Caenorhabditis elegans: one gene and its partner. The protein of the gene in region 2 interacts with the protein of the main gene of each other region in a pairwise test. Each region holds a gene or a part of one and is shown on either strand. Other genes may lie near its edges. The genes, in order: gei-4 and rhgf-1.

Region 1 (3,923 bases), on a different chromosome or scaffold from region 2:
TTTAGCAGACCCAAGCTATTCTGATTCCCCCGAATCTCTTCCTTACCGTTGACGAGCCGCCTCCGCTTTTTTCGCATTCTGCGTCTTGATGTGCAACCGGACAGCCTCGTCGTCCTTCTGTGGATCTCCTGTAGCCATTCCACATGCCTGAAACTCCGATTTCTGGAATGTTACGTCACGGTAGCAGCGGAAAAATTACAAATTTTGTGTGTTAGGGAGGAGAGATTTTACCAAAAATAGATTTTCACCCAATTAAATTTTCCTCTTCTCCGCTAATTTTCCAGATTTTCTGCTAGAATTCAATGTTCTATATTCACCTTAATCGCGCTCATCGCGTTCTGCATCTGCCGCATACGTCTCCGCGTATTGTGCGCCCGGCGCTCTTCCGGCGTCATTCTAGCGTAACGTGTACGGGCGGCCTCTGCCCACTTGGCCCGCATTCTCTTCTCTCTGAGCTGTTCGGTGATGTCCGGATCCTCTTGAATGTCATTTGTCTCCCGCAAAATCGATTCGAGCTCCTCCATCTCCTTCTCACGTTGCCGTTTTCGCTTCTGCGCCAACGTTCTTTTCAGGTTTAACTCTCGTTTCTCTTCGTTTGATAGTCGGTGATAACGCATTCGGGCGGCTTCTGCCTGTCGCGCCTTCTTTACTCGATCCTTCTCGCCTTTGTCGGGTGACGAGGAGAGTTTAACATTCATTCCTTCTACTTGTAGGTCCTGAAATGTTTCTGAGGTGTGCTCGGTGAGTTCGCTGCGTGATTTCATTCAATTCGTGTTTTCAGTGTGTTGAAACTTAAAATTCGCATTAAAACTCGAGAAATGGACAAATTCTGCTCGATTTCGCATCTTGGGTCTGCTAAATATTTAGCATACCCAACTTGGGCCTGCTAAATATTTAGCATACCCACCTTTGGTCTGCTAATTATTTAGCAGACCATAGTTGCAAAACTAAGCAAGTTCCAGTAACTTATCGACTTTTTGAGCAAATTTTTTGAAAAATCCGCTCAAATGCGAAAATCCACGCGGATTTCGAGCTGCAAAATTCAAAATTCCTTGAAAAAATCACTGAATAACACGAAATTCTCCCCAAAAAAAAACAAAGAAAAAACAACGAATTTACCACATCTCCTACTTTCAACTGAGGTATTTGTTGATTGTATGATCCAACTGATTGTTGTATTGAAGACATCTATAAAATAAATCACGATTCACAAACACAACCACAATTACGATAGAATTTACGGTAAAAAATGAGGAAAATCGAGATTTTTCGAGATTTCCGCCATTTTTTTAAGCCAAATCGCACGATTTTTACGATTTTTACCTGAACTGGCTGCTGATTATTCCACGACGTTGATGTTGAAGGTGTCGTACTGTCGATAAAATAAGCGTCAAGCATATTAACTAAACTCTTCTCTTCTCCCATCCGCCGCTGAGGTGTTTGCTGAAATTAAATAAAATTGAACATTTTCACTCGATTTCCTGAAAATCCCCTACCGTCACTGAATTAGGTATAAAAGTTGCGGAATTAGAGGAATGAAAATTGTTCGCATTTGAATTTGAATACGTCGTCGGCTGATAGGAGTTCTGTTGAAATTGCGATATTCCGTGTAGCTGCTGATTTTGATTACCGCCCGAGCGGGGATCCGAACTGTATGTGTATTGTATATTCTGCTGCATTTTTTATTATTTTTTGTGTTTCCGAGCCTGAAAAAATTGGAATTTTAGGTTTTTAAGCTAGTTTCCGATGAGAATTGCGATTTAATAAGGATATAATTGTGCTGGAAACAATTTTAATCACTTGAAAAATTAATTTTTTGAAGAAAAACCAAGGAAAACCAGGAAAACCAAAGAAAAATAAGAAATTAAATGGAGAAAGTGAGAAAAATAGAGAAGCAGATAAGTTTCGAATTCAAATTTGCCGGAGTGTCACTGGAGCGCACTTGCCTCCTTCTCAATTTTTCGAATTTCATAAGACTAGAATAATGAAAACACTGCTTAAAATGACTGGAACAAAAGAAGAATACATGAATTTTGATTGAAAAATTGAAAAATAAAATTGAAAACAACGTATCTCACTGCAAAAGCTTAAAAAATTCTTATTATAGTCCCAGCATGTACTAATTTCGACGGAATTGCGCCAAATTTTCACTGATCCACGTGGAATTTTCTGAATTTTACTGAAAATGCAAAAATCTTAGTTTCTTTTCGTGTTGGAGCTGTGTGCACAGGTGCCCAGGTGCACTGCTTGAACATGGTGGCCGTGAAAGAGAAAACTCGGTCAGTCCCTCTAAATCCTGCGGAAAAGGTCCTGCTGATCCACTTTTAAGCTAGTTTCAGCAAATCCAGAGGTATTTTGGGTTCCAGAGGCAGAGTTAGCATTCTAGAAGAGCAATGAATTTTGGTGGCCGACCTTTTATATCCGCGGTCCCCACGAAAAAGTCTCAGAGTGTCTCATTTCGGTTTGATCTGCGTAGATCTACAAAAAATGCCGGAGTTGAGGCGCAGAGTTCTCAACTGATTTTGCATGGTTAAGAACTTGCTGACGTCACATTTTTATGGGCCAAAAATTTCCGCATTTTTTTGTAGATCAAACCATAGTAGGACAGCCTGACACCACGAGGGCCCCGTATCCAAGTACCTGAGCCTAAAGCCTAATGTAATGGTTCTAATACCGTCTTCCAATTCCTATCGCTGTGGGTTCTCTGAAAATCCCTCCGAATTTTCCCATTTCACGGCCAAGGCATCAAATCCAACCTGTACCTCTCCGTTTCAAGTCGATTTTTAGAATTCAAATTTGTCCTCTTCGCGCCTAAACCGCCCATGCTCTTCCCATCATCACTGTTAACCACACTATTTTGTTGCCTGCCTGCCTTCTGTCTCTGCGCTCCCAAAATCAGCGGAAAAGAGTGTGTGATGGCGGATGGATGCGGTTGGGGATGGTAAGAAGAAGAAGAAGTGTAGGGAGATGAAGGGAACAAGACGGGGGGCAAAAAGTAGTAGTAGTAGAAGAGGAAGAAGACTAAGAGAAAACGAAACATATACACAAAAGAAGAGGACGATTTGGGGCGCATAGGACGAGAGGGAGGAGAGATTGGAGACGGGCGGGGCATTGTGTACGAGGGGAGGCCGACCGCGACGCGGAGACGCGTTGCACACTCGCATACACAATGCGCGCTGCGGAGAGTCCAAACATCACTAGACACTGTGCCGAGTGGCGGAGATCACGAGACACCCGGCACGAGAGAGCGCGCCCGTCGTGGAGTGTGTGTGCTTAGAGGCCGTGACGACAGCGTATCGATTGTGGAGAGTGCGTGGAGGAGTGCCGAATGAATGGGTAACGTGATGCGGAGAGAAAGATGGGGAGAGATGGATCGGAGGGTGCGGCAGACTCGAAAACAAGAGAGGCGAATGACGGCCGACAATAACTCTCAGGCACTCTCAGTGAGGAAAGAAGAAGGAGAAGAAGCACAGGAGATAGTATAAGGAGAGGAAGAGGAGCAGAACTTGGCTTCTACCGTATTCAGAGGCTATGATATCAGGCCTCTTGGGTCTGTTAAAATAGAGAACCCAGGCCTTAGAAAAGCTTGAAAGTTGTTGGGGCTCTCCAGTAGTCCTGGATATACCATGTGGAATCAGACTAGAATGGAGCTCAGGCTATCCTTGAGGCACTAGGAACTTCTGGAAATTCTGAACACTGAGAATTTTGCCTAGGCTTCTACCGTATTCAGATGCCATGAAATTAGACCTCTATCAGACCTCTAATTGGGCTTTGGTCTGTTAAATAGGGGCCTATCGGGGAACCCAGGCCTTAGAAAAGCTTGAAAGTTGTTGTAACTACCGGGGTATTCTTGGATATTCCAAGTGGAATCAGACTATAATGGAGCTTAGATTATTTTTTATTTTGCGTCTCTGAAATAGATA
Region 2 (3,923 bases):
GTTGAAGAGTGTTCGATCAGATTTGAGGTGTTTGAAAAAAGATAAGACCCATGTTTTGAAAAGCATATTCAAACTTTAGTTTAACAAAAACCACCAAAAATCAAAATGAACTTCAACTGCTAGGTTTTGTGTATTATTATGGAATAAAACTTTAATTTGTAATTTATGATCCTGATGTCTAAGCAGAAGTGCAAGTGGGACCATAGTTTTTGGCGGCAATTCATTTTTTTTTCAAAAATAAATAATGTTAGCAAATGTGCAAAAAGGAAATTTCTCAAACTGGATTCAGCGCAGAATTCAAAAAAGTTTTATCTGAAAGTATGCCGGTAACACGACAACAAGCAGATTCTCTGAAGCCAATGTTCAAATAACATGTAGTAAGGTTTTGCGCGTATTCGAAGGTTAATTTTTTAAGTGTGGCGCAAGAACGACAACAAGCAAAAATTCAATGAAACATAAACTACAAGACTGAATAGTTGATCACTTTCATGAACTGGAAATTAGTTATTACTATTTTCAACAACTTTTCATAGAATGTATGGAGAATGCGAAGAATATTACCAAAAGCTCGTGGTTTTCTTCAGATTTTTTAATAATTTAATAATTAAATTTTTCAAACTGCAAATGTTGACATCCCCTGCCGACTTCAGATCAAAGTTTCTTGTAAAATTAATGTGTTAAACGTAACGATAGGACAAGATTTAAACAACAACTGTGAATATATTCTTCAATGGGAAGTTTGCGGATTTTTTTTCAATTGGCACTCAAGTTGCATTTAATCCACTTCAAGGCTAACGATTTTAATCTTGTTTTGTAAGAAAATCATTCTGTCAATCCCATCTCTCTTAAAGTATTCAGAAAAGTTTTTAAATATCACTCAGTTTTCTATTCAAATGAATCAGCAATCAACAAAGAAGTTGACTAAACAATTTCCACAACAGATTTGATCCTCTTCCTCCGTTTCATCTTTTTCTTTATTCTCAGAAAACCCAGTAAACTGATGCTCTGTTGCTATTGCAAAAGGCACCCCGCCAAAATTGTCACAACAACGCCTATTGAGAACACAAGAGCAACACGACTCTTGGGAATATAACAGGAGAAGGGGATAACTTTCTGCCAAATTTAACATGGGATGAGTGGGAAAAGGGAAGAAGACATATACACACAATATATCCCGTTGAGATTTCAATCTTGAATGCTGTTGAAGAGGTTGAAAAGAGCAAGTGAGCTAGATAGGCTACAACGAAACACTGCTTTTAAGCAAAATAATTTTTGATGGAACTACAAAGTTATGCACTTTGAACACTAAAATCAACGTTTTCAGTGTTTAAGAAAAGAACTTACCTTTGTGTGTATTCTAACGAATACTTTGTTTTCTTGCGTTCCGAATAAAACGAAAAACAAAACTCATAGGTCTAAAATTATGGAACGAATTGAAACCAACAGTATTTCGAGTTATGATGAAGTTTAAAGTTCAACCCTTTTACCCAATTCGAAGGACAAGGTAATTGTAAAAGTGCAAAAATGGCTCACCGGTTGATGGGGATAATGGCTGCGATAAGGGTACAGTCCTTGTGACAGCCACATCGTCGACGAGGTATACTTTGTGCCGATCAAGTTTGAGTGGTGTATTGGTTACAAACTCGTACGATCGCATATACAGTTTCTGTAAAAAGTATCAATAATGGCAAACTGAGAAGAACTATAAATGCCAACGGAATCACGGAGACACAGAATGTGAGTGAATGGACGAATAAATTCTCTCCTCCTTAAGAAATCGAGCCCACACACGCAGCAAGTGTGCGGAAGAAGAGAGGAAGAGTGCTTGGTGCGCTGATTGCGGAACGAATGTTTATATATGACAAAGTGACGCTGTCAATAGACAGAACCAAAAACTATTGCTGAAGGAGGGGGGGGGGGGACGAAAAGCTTCAAGAAGGCATGGATTTTTGTTGGTGTATTCTGGTTTAGTCTCAAAACAAACTTATATGTGGAGTTAGAAGTGACAAAACGCTAAAAATTCCACGGCAAATCGTTGAGCAAAATATGCGAAGATGAAAGTTGAAAAATTGTTCCAACACGCTCACAGAGGACAAAAAGTTAACCTGCTCGTCGAGTGGGAGTGGAAATCAAATGAACGAACTCAGAATACATTGTTCTTCTTCGTCTGGTCATTCAAAGAATAATAAAAAGGTATGAACATGAATTTTCAAAACCATCGGTATACATATAAAATGAAACCTAGCAAAATGGTTAGTAATAAAATGCCAGGATTTTATGACAGTTACTTTGAAGTCAAACGTGCATCAAAATCAAAACTATCACACTGAATTAAATAACAACTAGCCAATCTTGAAATTAAAAATTGGAAAATCTTCATTAACTGAATAACTGACTAACTTCATAACTGAATGTCTTGGATAGTTTCCATGAAACTTCAAATAATTCGAAAACAAGTGATTAATTTTAAAAAAACGCGGGTGGTCTTCAAGGTGGGCTCGCGAAATTCCCACCATTACTTTGCTGACGTCATTCTATTAATCACACAGGAATTTCTTCTAAAAAAACTAAATATTCCTAAAACATCAGCTTCTGTCAAGATAAACTGAAAAATAACATGTTCACTGAAGAATTTTCAAAAGAGAAACATGAAAGGCGAAAAAGGAAACAAAATTCACATGTTCTCAATGTTTGGAGATGTTTTTTTTAGAGCGGCGAATATAAAACTGCAGTTGTAAAGAAAAAATGGCAAGTTCATGAAAGGCTGGCTAACTTTAAAATATGACCAATGAATTTCAAATAATAAATATATTTCAAACAGATTCGAAAACTGGATATTACAAAATTGATATAATTTCTAAGAAGCATTTTCAAGATATGCAACATTTCAAAAGTTATCCAGTGTTTGAAGAGAGGCCCGTATAAATAAATAATTAAAATTCTTCTTGATTCCAAGAAAAAAGCAACAAAAAAATTTACTGGCAGTGAAGTCCTACTGCTCACCACCGGCACCATCCTGGGAAAGTGTCTCTCAAGAATCGTTCAAGATACATCAGATGGAAAGAAAACATTAAAGAGGTTGTACGATGAGAAGCAGAAAGTTCACACGCCTAAAATTGCCGTTGGGAATAACGATGGTGGTAGGTCCTCCCGGACAAGTGAAGAAAAAGGAAGGGAGCAAAAAGCAAATCTACTTGTTAGAAAACTGATTTCTCAACGCACTCCGGCTAAACTGTGCCGGCGGCGGCATTCTTAATAGATTGCCAAGATGCATATCTCAATACGTATCGCCATTTGACGTTTTGGGGACAAGAGCATGAGGCTTATCCTCGGCATCCTCATGAACTGGACGATGCCGTTGGTGTCTGTGCTCACCGCTACGTCTCGGGTTTCAGATTCAGATATCGAATACACGCTTTTACACACTCTTCGAATTTTGAATATATCTTTATGGAGAACGAAGATGATGAGTAAATACTTTTGGCATTTGCCTCCGTCCCACCACATCGATCTTTCGATGCAGTTTTCTTCAGTTTTGGTTTCAGATTACTCACAGATTTGGCAACAATAAACAACATTTGTTTCGGCTTGAACAGTTGCTTAGTTCAAGGCTGAACATTGAAAAATGTGAAAACTTTGAGCATCATGTGCCTTCTTCTTGTTTTATATCACATTTGGTTTAAACAAAATAAAGCATGACAGCATGTTTAACGTATAACATAAACATGAGAACGGTGCAGTAAATCCGAATGTGTTTCACAATGCGTTGTAATAGAAACTATCATGAAACAATTTTCAAAATGTCTTTACCAAACTTTCAATATTGGTTCAACATGCATAACAAACATTCGATTGTTCTCTGGAACTGTACGGCTCATTTTAAAATATCCAATAGCTGGAAGTTGACCGGTTTGGACAAACTT

Evidence for each region.
Region 1: the proteins of rhgf-1 (region 2) and gei-4 interact in a two-hybrid assay, tested with the Caenorhabditis elegans proteins (one large-scale study listed by BioGRID).

The regions. Positions count from the first base shown.
Region 1 is NC_003281.10:346,722-350,644, forward strand, and holds the start of gei-4 (BZIP domain-containing protein), read right to left. Parts: upstream 1,707-3,923; 5' UTR 1,680-1,706; coding exon 1,497-1,679; intron 1,444-1,496; coding exon 1,324-1,443; intron 1,189-1,323; coding exon 1,120-1,188; coding exon of another isoform or gene 967-1,119; intron 717-966; coding exon 318-716; intron 163-317; coding exon of another isoform or gene 148-162; coding exon 47-147; intron 1-46.
Region 2 is NC_003284.9:10,710,202-10,714,124, forward strand, and holds the start of rhgf-1 (Guanine nucleotide exchange factor), read right to left. Parts: upstream 1,669-3,923; 5' UTR 1,658-1,668; coding exon 1,534-1,657; intron 1,215-1,533; exon of another isoform or gene 1,088-1,214; intron 1-1,087.